2 linked regions of the Oryctolagus cuniculus genome follow. The protein of the gene in region 2 binds, or shares a complex with, the protein of the main gene of each other region. Links are inferred from orthologs where the notes say so. Each region holds a gene or a part of one and is shown on either strand. Other genes may lie near its edges.

Evidence for each region.
Region 1: the proteins of COP1 (region 2) and TRIB1 are in contact, whole or in part, in a crystal structure (PDB 5IGQ), measured with the Homo sapiens proteins. The link is inferred for Oryctolagus cuniculus from reciprocal best matches to the Homo sapiens genes COP1 and TRIB1. Residues at the interface, in NP_071902.2 of Homo sapiens: Ile423, Ser425, Val441, Lys472, Tyr491, Trp517, Asp534, Ala556, Asn557, Cys559, Ala576, Asp577, His578, Lys600, Ala601, Ser603, Thr618, Lys643, Asn644, Phe645, Phe699; in NP_079471.1 of Homo sapiens: Asp355, Gln356, Ile357, Val358, Pro359, Glu360, Tyr361.

What each region holds. Positions count from the first base shown.
Region 1 is NC_091437.1:151,043,379-151,047,962, forward strand, and holds the start of TRIB1 (tribbles homolog 1), read left to right. Parts: upstream 1-1,770; 5' UTR 1,771-2,514; coding exon 2,515-2,883; intron 2,884-4,584. UniProt on the Homo sapiens protein: Adapter protein involved in protein degradation by interacting with COP1 ubiquitin ligase. The COP1-binding motif is masked by autoinhibitory interactions with the protein kinase domain.
Region 2 is NC_091438.1:4,281,474-4,285,279, forward strand, and holds part of COP1 (E3 ubiquitin-protein ligase COP1), read right to left. Parts: intron 519-3,806; coding exon 383-518; intron 1-382. UniProt on the Homo sapiens protein: E3 ubiquitin-protein ligase that mediates ubiquitination and subsequent proteasomal degradation of target proteins.

The sequences.
Region 1 (4,584 bases), on a different chromosome or scaffold from region 2:
CCCCTGGACCACACCAACTACGCCATGCAGCTGGCAGCTCAGTGCCTCTTAAGTTCCTGCACAAAATAACCCTGAAAGACCAAGAGCATAGGTGGGCTCCCTCCTGGCCACAGAACGAAGCGTGCTGCTGGAGCCCTCCCTTCGACCTCTCAGACGGCCTGGGCTGGCTCAGCTCCCCACCACCCTTGCAGCCAACCCGGCTCTTCCCTACACCCCTGCCTGGGCTGGCCACCAGCACTGTTCACAGCCACCCGGACCTGAGCAACGCTCACACAGTCCCACTGGACCCCAGCTCAAGGGTCTTCTGAGTCCTCCCTAATGCCTCTTTTCCCCTACAAATTGCCATCTCTCTGTTGGGTCCCCAATGATGTTAAGTGCTCAATTGCTCCACCACTGGTGAGCTATTTCCCCATCTTTCTGGGTCTCAGTGTTTTCCTCCGTGACGTGGACTAGAGGAGGTGGTGGTGGTCCCACAGGTTCCACGCTAGGCACAGGGACTCCCACCCTGGAGGCCGCATCTAATTCGAGCTGTTATTGCTGCTTTAATTTTCATCTATTAATCCCCAGCGCCTAGCCCTTAGTAGACGCTTAGTGTTTGTTGAATGCACGGAGAATTAATAAGGAAATGGATGTATTCCTAGGGCTCTACCTGGTTTTAGAAAGTTAACGATTTAGCAGAAGTTCAAGGTCGCCTGCCTTGGGCGTTCAGGGGCTCCAAACTGACCAGGTTCCGATTCCGAGCTGTTTTCACGGAGCTCGGCGCAGGGTCTGGCGCACACTTTGCGCTCACCCTAAGCACTCTGCAGCGTCCGCGGGGCCGTGGCCGCAATGACTGCCCCGCCTCCTCCACACCACCTACCCCGATGCCCAGGCTGGCACCCGCGCCCCAGACTCCGCGGCGCGTGCGGAGGCCCGGGGAGGGGCAGGGATCCGGCGGCCGCGGCCACGTGGGCCCCTTCCGCCCGCTCCCACATCCTTTGTTTCCCACCCGCCCGGCTCAGGAAGCTCTTTCTGCGAGTCACCGCGAAGGGGCGGCCCGGGAGCCTGGAGAAGCTATTTCCGTGCAACCCGGGCGGCGAGGAGGTGGAGGCGGCGCAGAAGGCCCCGTGTTTGCTTTCGTTTCGTCCAACAGAAGGTTCTATTTGTGGAAGCGAACAGACGCTGGGGATTAGAGCTGGGAGGAGGCAGGAAAAGGGAGGGGGGAGCCACATCCACTACCACGCACAGGTCTTCCCCGGAACTACCGCGTGGGGGTGAATGACTGTCTCTGGAACTCATCACCCTCCCCAGGCTCCCTCCGCACCCCCACCCCTCTCCTCTGGCTGCAGCCTGGCCGCCCACGGCTCCAACCGGAGCTCCCCAGGTGCTGGGCTGCGGGGGGATCCCCGGGGCCAAAGGCGTAACCGCGGGACCGCAGCGAGCGGCGGGTGCAGAGAACCGCGCCGCGCGTGCCCGCGGCCCATTGTGCTCGCTGTGAATGAGGCGCGCGCACCAATCAGCGGCCGCTTCGCCCCCCGAGGCCCCGCCCTCCCGCCCACTTCCCCGAGACCCTGACGTCACGGGAACTTTTCCTCCGCCCCCTCCTTCGGCCGCTCGCGCGGAGCCGGGGGCCTGCAAGGAGGGCGCGCGCCGCCTCCTGCCCTGCCCAGCCCGGGGGCCGAGTGCGCGCGCTCCGGGCGGCCCGGGACGCACCACCTGCGCCCGAGCGCGCGCCGCTCCGAGCATCCCAGGCCCGCGGGCCACCCCCCGCCCCCCAGCCTCCTGCCCCTCCCCCCCAGTCTCCTCCCTCCGCTCCGGGGACTGCTCGCCGGGTGGCGGAGCCGGAGTCGTCGCGGCCACCTCATTGCACAACCCGGCTCCCCAACTGTTTACACAGGCCGGCCTGTGAGTGTGTGTGTGTATACAGCGTGAGTCACCGGGAGGCGGAGGAGGTGGAGGAAAAGGAGAAGGAGGAGTGCGCTGGCCGGGATCGGCGCGGCGCACACACTCACTCACACTCAGTCACTCTCTCCGAGCGCGTCGCGCCCGCTCGCACACGCCCGCAGTCCAGGAGCGCGCGCAGGACCCCCGGGCGCCGCGGAAAAGTTGCTCCGGCTTTGATTGCTCCGGGACGTGCATTGGCTCCGCGGCTCTGCGCAGCCCGCGGAATCCTGTGCTCGTGGCCCGGGACCCCGGGAACGCAGGCCGCCGCCGCCTCTGGGACGGTCGGCAGCCTCGGCAACAATAGCGGCGGCCGCCCCCTGCGAGGGGGCCCCAAGTCGGCGGCCGCGGGGGTCCGAGGACCTGAGCCGGCCTCCGCCCCCCGGCCGCTGAGCCAGCGTGGTCTCCGCGTGTGCACCCGACAGCGCCGAGCAGCCACTCCCGCTGTGGCCCCTGTGGGGGCCGAGCCAAGCCCGCTCTGCAAACTCCATCCCGCGGGCTGGAAGAAGTCGCGGCGCCCTCGCCGAGCCCGCAGCGCCTTCCTGCGCGGATCCGGGGACTTACAAAGCCGGGACCGCCCCGGCCGGGGACGGGATGCGGGCCGGTCCCGTGCGCTCTTCCATGAGCGGCGCCTCGCAACCCCGGGGCCCGGCCCTGCTGCTCCCGGCCGCTCGGGGCACCCCGACCAAACGGCTGCTGGATGCGGACGACGCGGCGGCGGCGGTGGCGGCGGCGGCCAAGTGCCCGCGACTCTCCGAGTGCCCAAGCCCCCCGGACTACCTCAGCCCCCCCGGCTCGCCGTGCAGCCCGCAGCCCCTGCCCGCCGCGCCGGGAGCCGGCGGCAGCTCCGGGAGCGCGCCGGGGCCCAGCCGCATCGCGGACTACCTGCTACTGCCCCTAGCCGAGCGCGAGCATGTGTCCCGGGCGCTGTGCATCCACACCGGCCGCGAGCTGCGCTGCAAGGTAGGCGCCCCGGGGAGCACCCGGCGGGGGGATCGGGGGCGCGGGACGCGGTGCCCGACGTCCCTCCGACGCGGGGGGCTTGGGGGCAGGGCGGGTTGGTGCGGGGAGCCCGACCAGGCGGCCATTGACCGAGTTCACCCTTTTGGAGAGAGGTGTAAAGGGGGGATTCGCAGGCAAGCGGAAGTGCAGGGTTCAATTGCTTTATAGTCCTTGCTTGGCGCTGAGTTTAGCGCGTGGCGTTCCCATATAAGTTGTGGAATTGCAATGGATTCCAGGGCCATGCCATTCCCCTTCTCTCATTCTCCTCGCCGCCCCGCCCGCCCGCCCTTGCCCTGGAAGGACGCCCCGCAGTGGGTGCCTGCTCGGAGCCGGGAGCAGCCGGCCGCCCCCTCGCCGGGGCTCCGCTGCGGCTGGGAAGACCTGGGCCGGCCCGTGCCCTGGGGATTCCGACGGGAGCCCGCGCTGGCACGCGAACACCGCCCTGCCCAGGGCCGGTCCGGGGCGGGGGGTCTTCCAGCCGCGGCGGGGGGAATTTGCCCGGAGTCGGAAAGTGGGGAACCCCCCCCCCCCGCCCGCTAGGCGTCCTCGCTTCCATTCACTTTATTTTCCGGTCAGCGGTTTGCATTTGCACCGCAGGGAGGAGGAGGTGGCACTGGGACAGGCAGAACCCGCCGGGTCCGCGGCCGTCCCCGCCCCTGGAGGCTGGCACTGCGGTCGCAGGCTCCCCTTGAGGAGCCGCCTTCCGCCCACCCGGGCTGGGCGCCCCCAAGTTAAACTTGCTCTTGGATTTTCTGTAACTCACCTGACGCCCCTCTGCCCCCGCCCCCCAACCTTCCTCCAGGGCTTGCTGCTGCCACCTACCGTCCTACCCTTATGAAATTGCAAATGTACAACCAAGCCCAGGTTTTTAAGCGGGGAGAAACCTTTTTCGGTGACTGGGGCTGAGAGCTGTTCTGGGGAAAGCGGGTGTGTGTGTGTGTGCTGTGGGGTGGGATAGGAGGCGGAGAGGCAGCAGCAGGAGGCAGCCAGGCCTCAGAGGTGGGGTGGGTCTGGTCGTTGTGCAACCCCTTCCAGTTCCTCCAAGCAGATAATAGCTGAATCCAGATGGTGACAGCCCGTGTGTCACCGTTTCCAGTTGAGTCTAGGATATGAGTAACCGGACTAAACAGAGGGCCCTTAAAGAGACCTGCCAGCTTCTTAGGGGAGATGCTGCCGGTTCCTGGAGCGGGGTGGGTGGGAGGGGGCCTAAACAAACAATGGAACAAAGAAAAACCATTGGGACGGTCCAGTACCCCACCTGTGGGAACTGGCTGCACCTGAGTCACACGGCAGGCGGGTCGCTTAGTGCTGCCCGGTCACAGGCTGTCCAGCCAAGTCATTTGTTCCTTCTGACAGCTCTGTGGCCCCCGCTTCCCCTGGGAGGCTGCGGAGTCACGGGCCGGTGCCTTCTCTGGGCTGAACCCTTTGCCTTTGCAGGAGACACATGCACTTCCTGCAGGCCCTTGCCCGCGTGCTCTGCAAACCGGGAAGGGCCCCAGTGGGTGGGAGCTCTGGGGGCTTAGCTCTCAGGGTCCCTGGAGAAGACTGACAGGCGGGCACAGAAGACTGTTCTTTGAAACCGCTCATGGGGGGGGGGGTAGCTCTCTGGATGCTTGCTAGCCTTAGATGTCACTGGCTGTGAGGGTACTAGGGGTCCCTGGG
Region 2 (3,806 bases):
AGCTCTCATTTGAATTACAAGGTATAGCCACATAATTATAGACCAGTGTATACATGAAGTCAATATTATAAATAACCTTTGATAGTTATTTTATTTACTAACTTCCAGAAAAATGAAGTGTAGACCTGTGATTAAAATTAGACCTAAATACTATAAGAGAACCAACTGTAATCCTGTTAGATGGATACTATTAATCATTCCATTATGAACAAATTTAGGAGTAGGGAGATTTAGAAACTTACCTAAGATCACAAAACTTTAAGTTGGCAGATAAATTCAGAATTCAGGTGTTTAATAAAAATGCTATACTTGATATTAAAATACAATTAGATTCTTAGTATTCTTACAAATGATAATAGTAAGGAGTGTGCTCAACACTTACCTAGAGACTATGCTGGAGCCATTATAGAGATCACTAGCATATGACAACGTGGCCAAAGGTCGTACTGAATTATATCGAGTAAACTTGGATAAGCATTCCTGAAATTCATCCAGTTGGCTTGCAGTTCGACTGTCATCTATATGACAAAAACAAAACAGATGAATGCAATTATAAAGTTAAGTCAAAGATCAATAGTCACAGGTTGAAAAATATATTCTAAATGCAAAAAGCACTCTTTAAAAGACTAGTTTGCACAAATTAATGTGAACTTTTGATCTTACTAAAAAGTCTTGGTGGCTCTTTACAGAGAATGTGTCTTTCAACATCAATAGTAATTCTCTTTTCTTTCTTTTATCCATAATTTCTTGGAAAAGCAAAAAAAAAAAAAAAAAAAAAGATGGTTCTGGGGAAGAGAAACTATTCATTAGAGTAAAAATCTCTGACAATGGGGAAGAGTAATATATACACGAGTCAGGGTATACCCATGTTTATTTATTGCCAAAGCCCTGTTCAAACTTTATATACTTTAAAACAAAAATAGTTTTTTAATTTACAAAATTTGCTCATGAGGCCAGCGCAGTGGCGCAGCAGATTAAAGCCCTGGCCTGAGTGCCAGCATCCCATATGGGTGCCGGTTCTAGTCCCGGCTGCTCCTCTTCCAATCCAGCTCTCTGCTATGGCCTGGGAAATCAGTAGAAGATGGCTCAGGTCCTTGGGCCCCTGCACCTGTGTGGGAGACCCGGGAGAAGTTCCTGGCTCCTGGCTTCGGATCTGCGCAGCTCTGGCGGTTGCAGCCATCTGGGGAGTGAACCAGCGGATGGAGGACCTCTCTCTCTGTCTCTGCCTCCCTCTGTAACTCTTTCAATTAAATAAAATAAATCTTTTTTCTTTTCTTATATATATATATATTTTTTTTTTTTTTTGACAGGCAGAGTGGACAGTGAGAGAGAGACAGAGAGAAAGGTCTTCCTTTTGCCGTTGGTTCACCTTCCAATGGCCGCCGCGGCCGGCACACTGCGGCCGGCGCACCGTGCCTATGCAAAGGCAGGAGCCAGGTGCTTCCTCCTGGTCTCCCATGGGGTGCAGGGCCCAAGCACTTGGGCCATCCTCCACTGCACTCCCGGGCCATAGCAGAGAGCTGGCCTGGAAGAGGGGCAACCGGGAAAGAATCTGGTGTCCCGACCGGGACTAGAACCCGGTGTGCCGGTGCCGCAGGTGGAGGATTAGCCTATTGAGCCACGGCGCCGGCAAATAAAATAAATCTTTAAAAAAATAAAAATAAAAAATTTGCTCACATAATACTTTCAAGTGTTTCAAATCCTGTTACAAGAACACAATAAGAAACTGTGATGTATGAATTACTAATCCTCAAACATAAATTAAAAATATTTGAAGTGACTTTCATTTATCATAAAGGAAAAAAACACTGTCACTCAATGTCATGGTGGAGAATACAACAGTAATTCTGTCCATGAGAACACTGCATAAATACTATAAGTACCACTTCAGCAAACCACTCAGAGCCAAGGCATGTAGCATTAAATCATACAATCAGCTTAGGAAGTACCTGACAATAAATAAGGCTAATCTATGTTGCAGTATGTCTGCAGGCCTATATTGAAAGTGCTAATAAAAAAAAATCACTTGAAGTTCAGACTTATATTTTTCTTTCCAAAGAATGAAAAGAACAACACCGTTATTTTAGCTTCCTAGATTAAAAAAGTTTGTTACAGACTATCTTTCCATAATTTCTTCCTTATTTTACACTTATCCACATACATACATACAACTTTTTTTAGGTAAACAATCATAATTCCCCTCTTTAAATATCATCTGAAGGTGATAGTGGGCACTTGCAATGCAGTTCAGATGAAAGAATCATTCACTTGAAAGACTTATAAGACTATGACATACATGCAAAAAATTTATTTTATCTGGAAGGCTAAGGTTATCTTGAAAATAACTGTTGGCATGTAGAAATTTTAAAATTATCACAAAATTATAAATACTTGAGAAAACTAAGTAAGCCTTTGTTTCTGATGTTTTTCAAACTGTAAAGATTTAAACACTAAGCAAATCTATCAACCTGTATTACAAATGTCTAAGTTTGTAGTGCTTCTATTTTAAAAACAAAAGAAAGAACCTAACTAGCATTTAATATCATAGTGATATCAAGATAAAGCCCCTATTCCAAAAAATTATTTCCAGGAAATTTAACAACTTATACATAAAACATGGGTTACTGTAAAAGAAAAAAAAATCATCCACTGTACTATAGAGTAGCCTGAATATAATAGGTAATTGGTTCTTTTAAGTTTTATTATTGTATAATATAATAAATACTGGAAAGATAGTTACTTTACATTTATAAAGCTTTAACATTAATCAATTATTTTGAGAATACACAATCATAAGCATTCAAGTATATGTATTCTATTGAAGTCCATAATCCTTTTCTATGGTAACTAGACCTTTCCTTATTATGCAAGCTCATTAACAGAACCATAAAACTAATTCAGTATTTAAAAGAATAGCAATTAACTTTCAGTTACGTTGTTACGAAAAGGTAAGATTTTGTTGGCTTGGTTGTTTTACGATCAACATCTAATACAAATCTGCTGACCTATCACCTCTCTTATGTGTTCTCAACTACCTTTACTGCTGTATAGCATGCCTATCGTGCTAGTGACTTAAAGATCATTATTGGGGCTGGCGTTGTGGATAAAGGGTAGAGCTACTGCTTGCAATGCCAGCATCCCATATGGGAGCAGGTTTCAGTCCTGGCTACTACGCTTCTGATTCAGTTACCTGCTAATGTGCCTGGAAAAAAAGCAGAGGATGGCCCAAGTGCCTGGGCCCCTGCACCCACGTGGGAGACCAAGAAGAAGCTCCTAGTTTGGCCTGGTCCTGGCTGTTGTGTCCATTTAGGGAGTGAACCAGCAGACAGAAGATCCTTCGCTTTCTTTGTGTCTCCCTTCTTCTCTCTGTAACTCTGCCTTTCAAATAAATCAATCTCTTAAAAAAATTAATAATGTTGCCTACCTCAATCTCTTTTTCTACTCTTTTTGTTTTTTAATAACTGCCACATGGTCTACAATTGTATTTCGACATAGTACCATCAAATAACAGGAAAACGTTAACAAGAACTCTCTTCCACATAGAATGCAGTTCTCAGTCCACTTTCAATTTAGCAGCTTCTTACTGTAGTTTCTACTTACAGACTATTACAGAGGTTAACAAGGAGTTAGAGTCTGAGCCAAGAAATGACAGCTTTCTATGTGTAAAAGTTGCTTATCAATAGTTTTAAACTTATTCAAAAAAATATCTTGGCTTCCTCTAATCTTCCTAGAAAAAACACTACGTAAATCCAATACAAGGACTTTCAAAATGTGTATAAAAAAAGGAATTAAAAATGTGAAACATT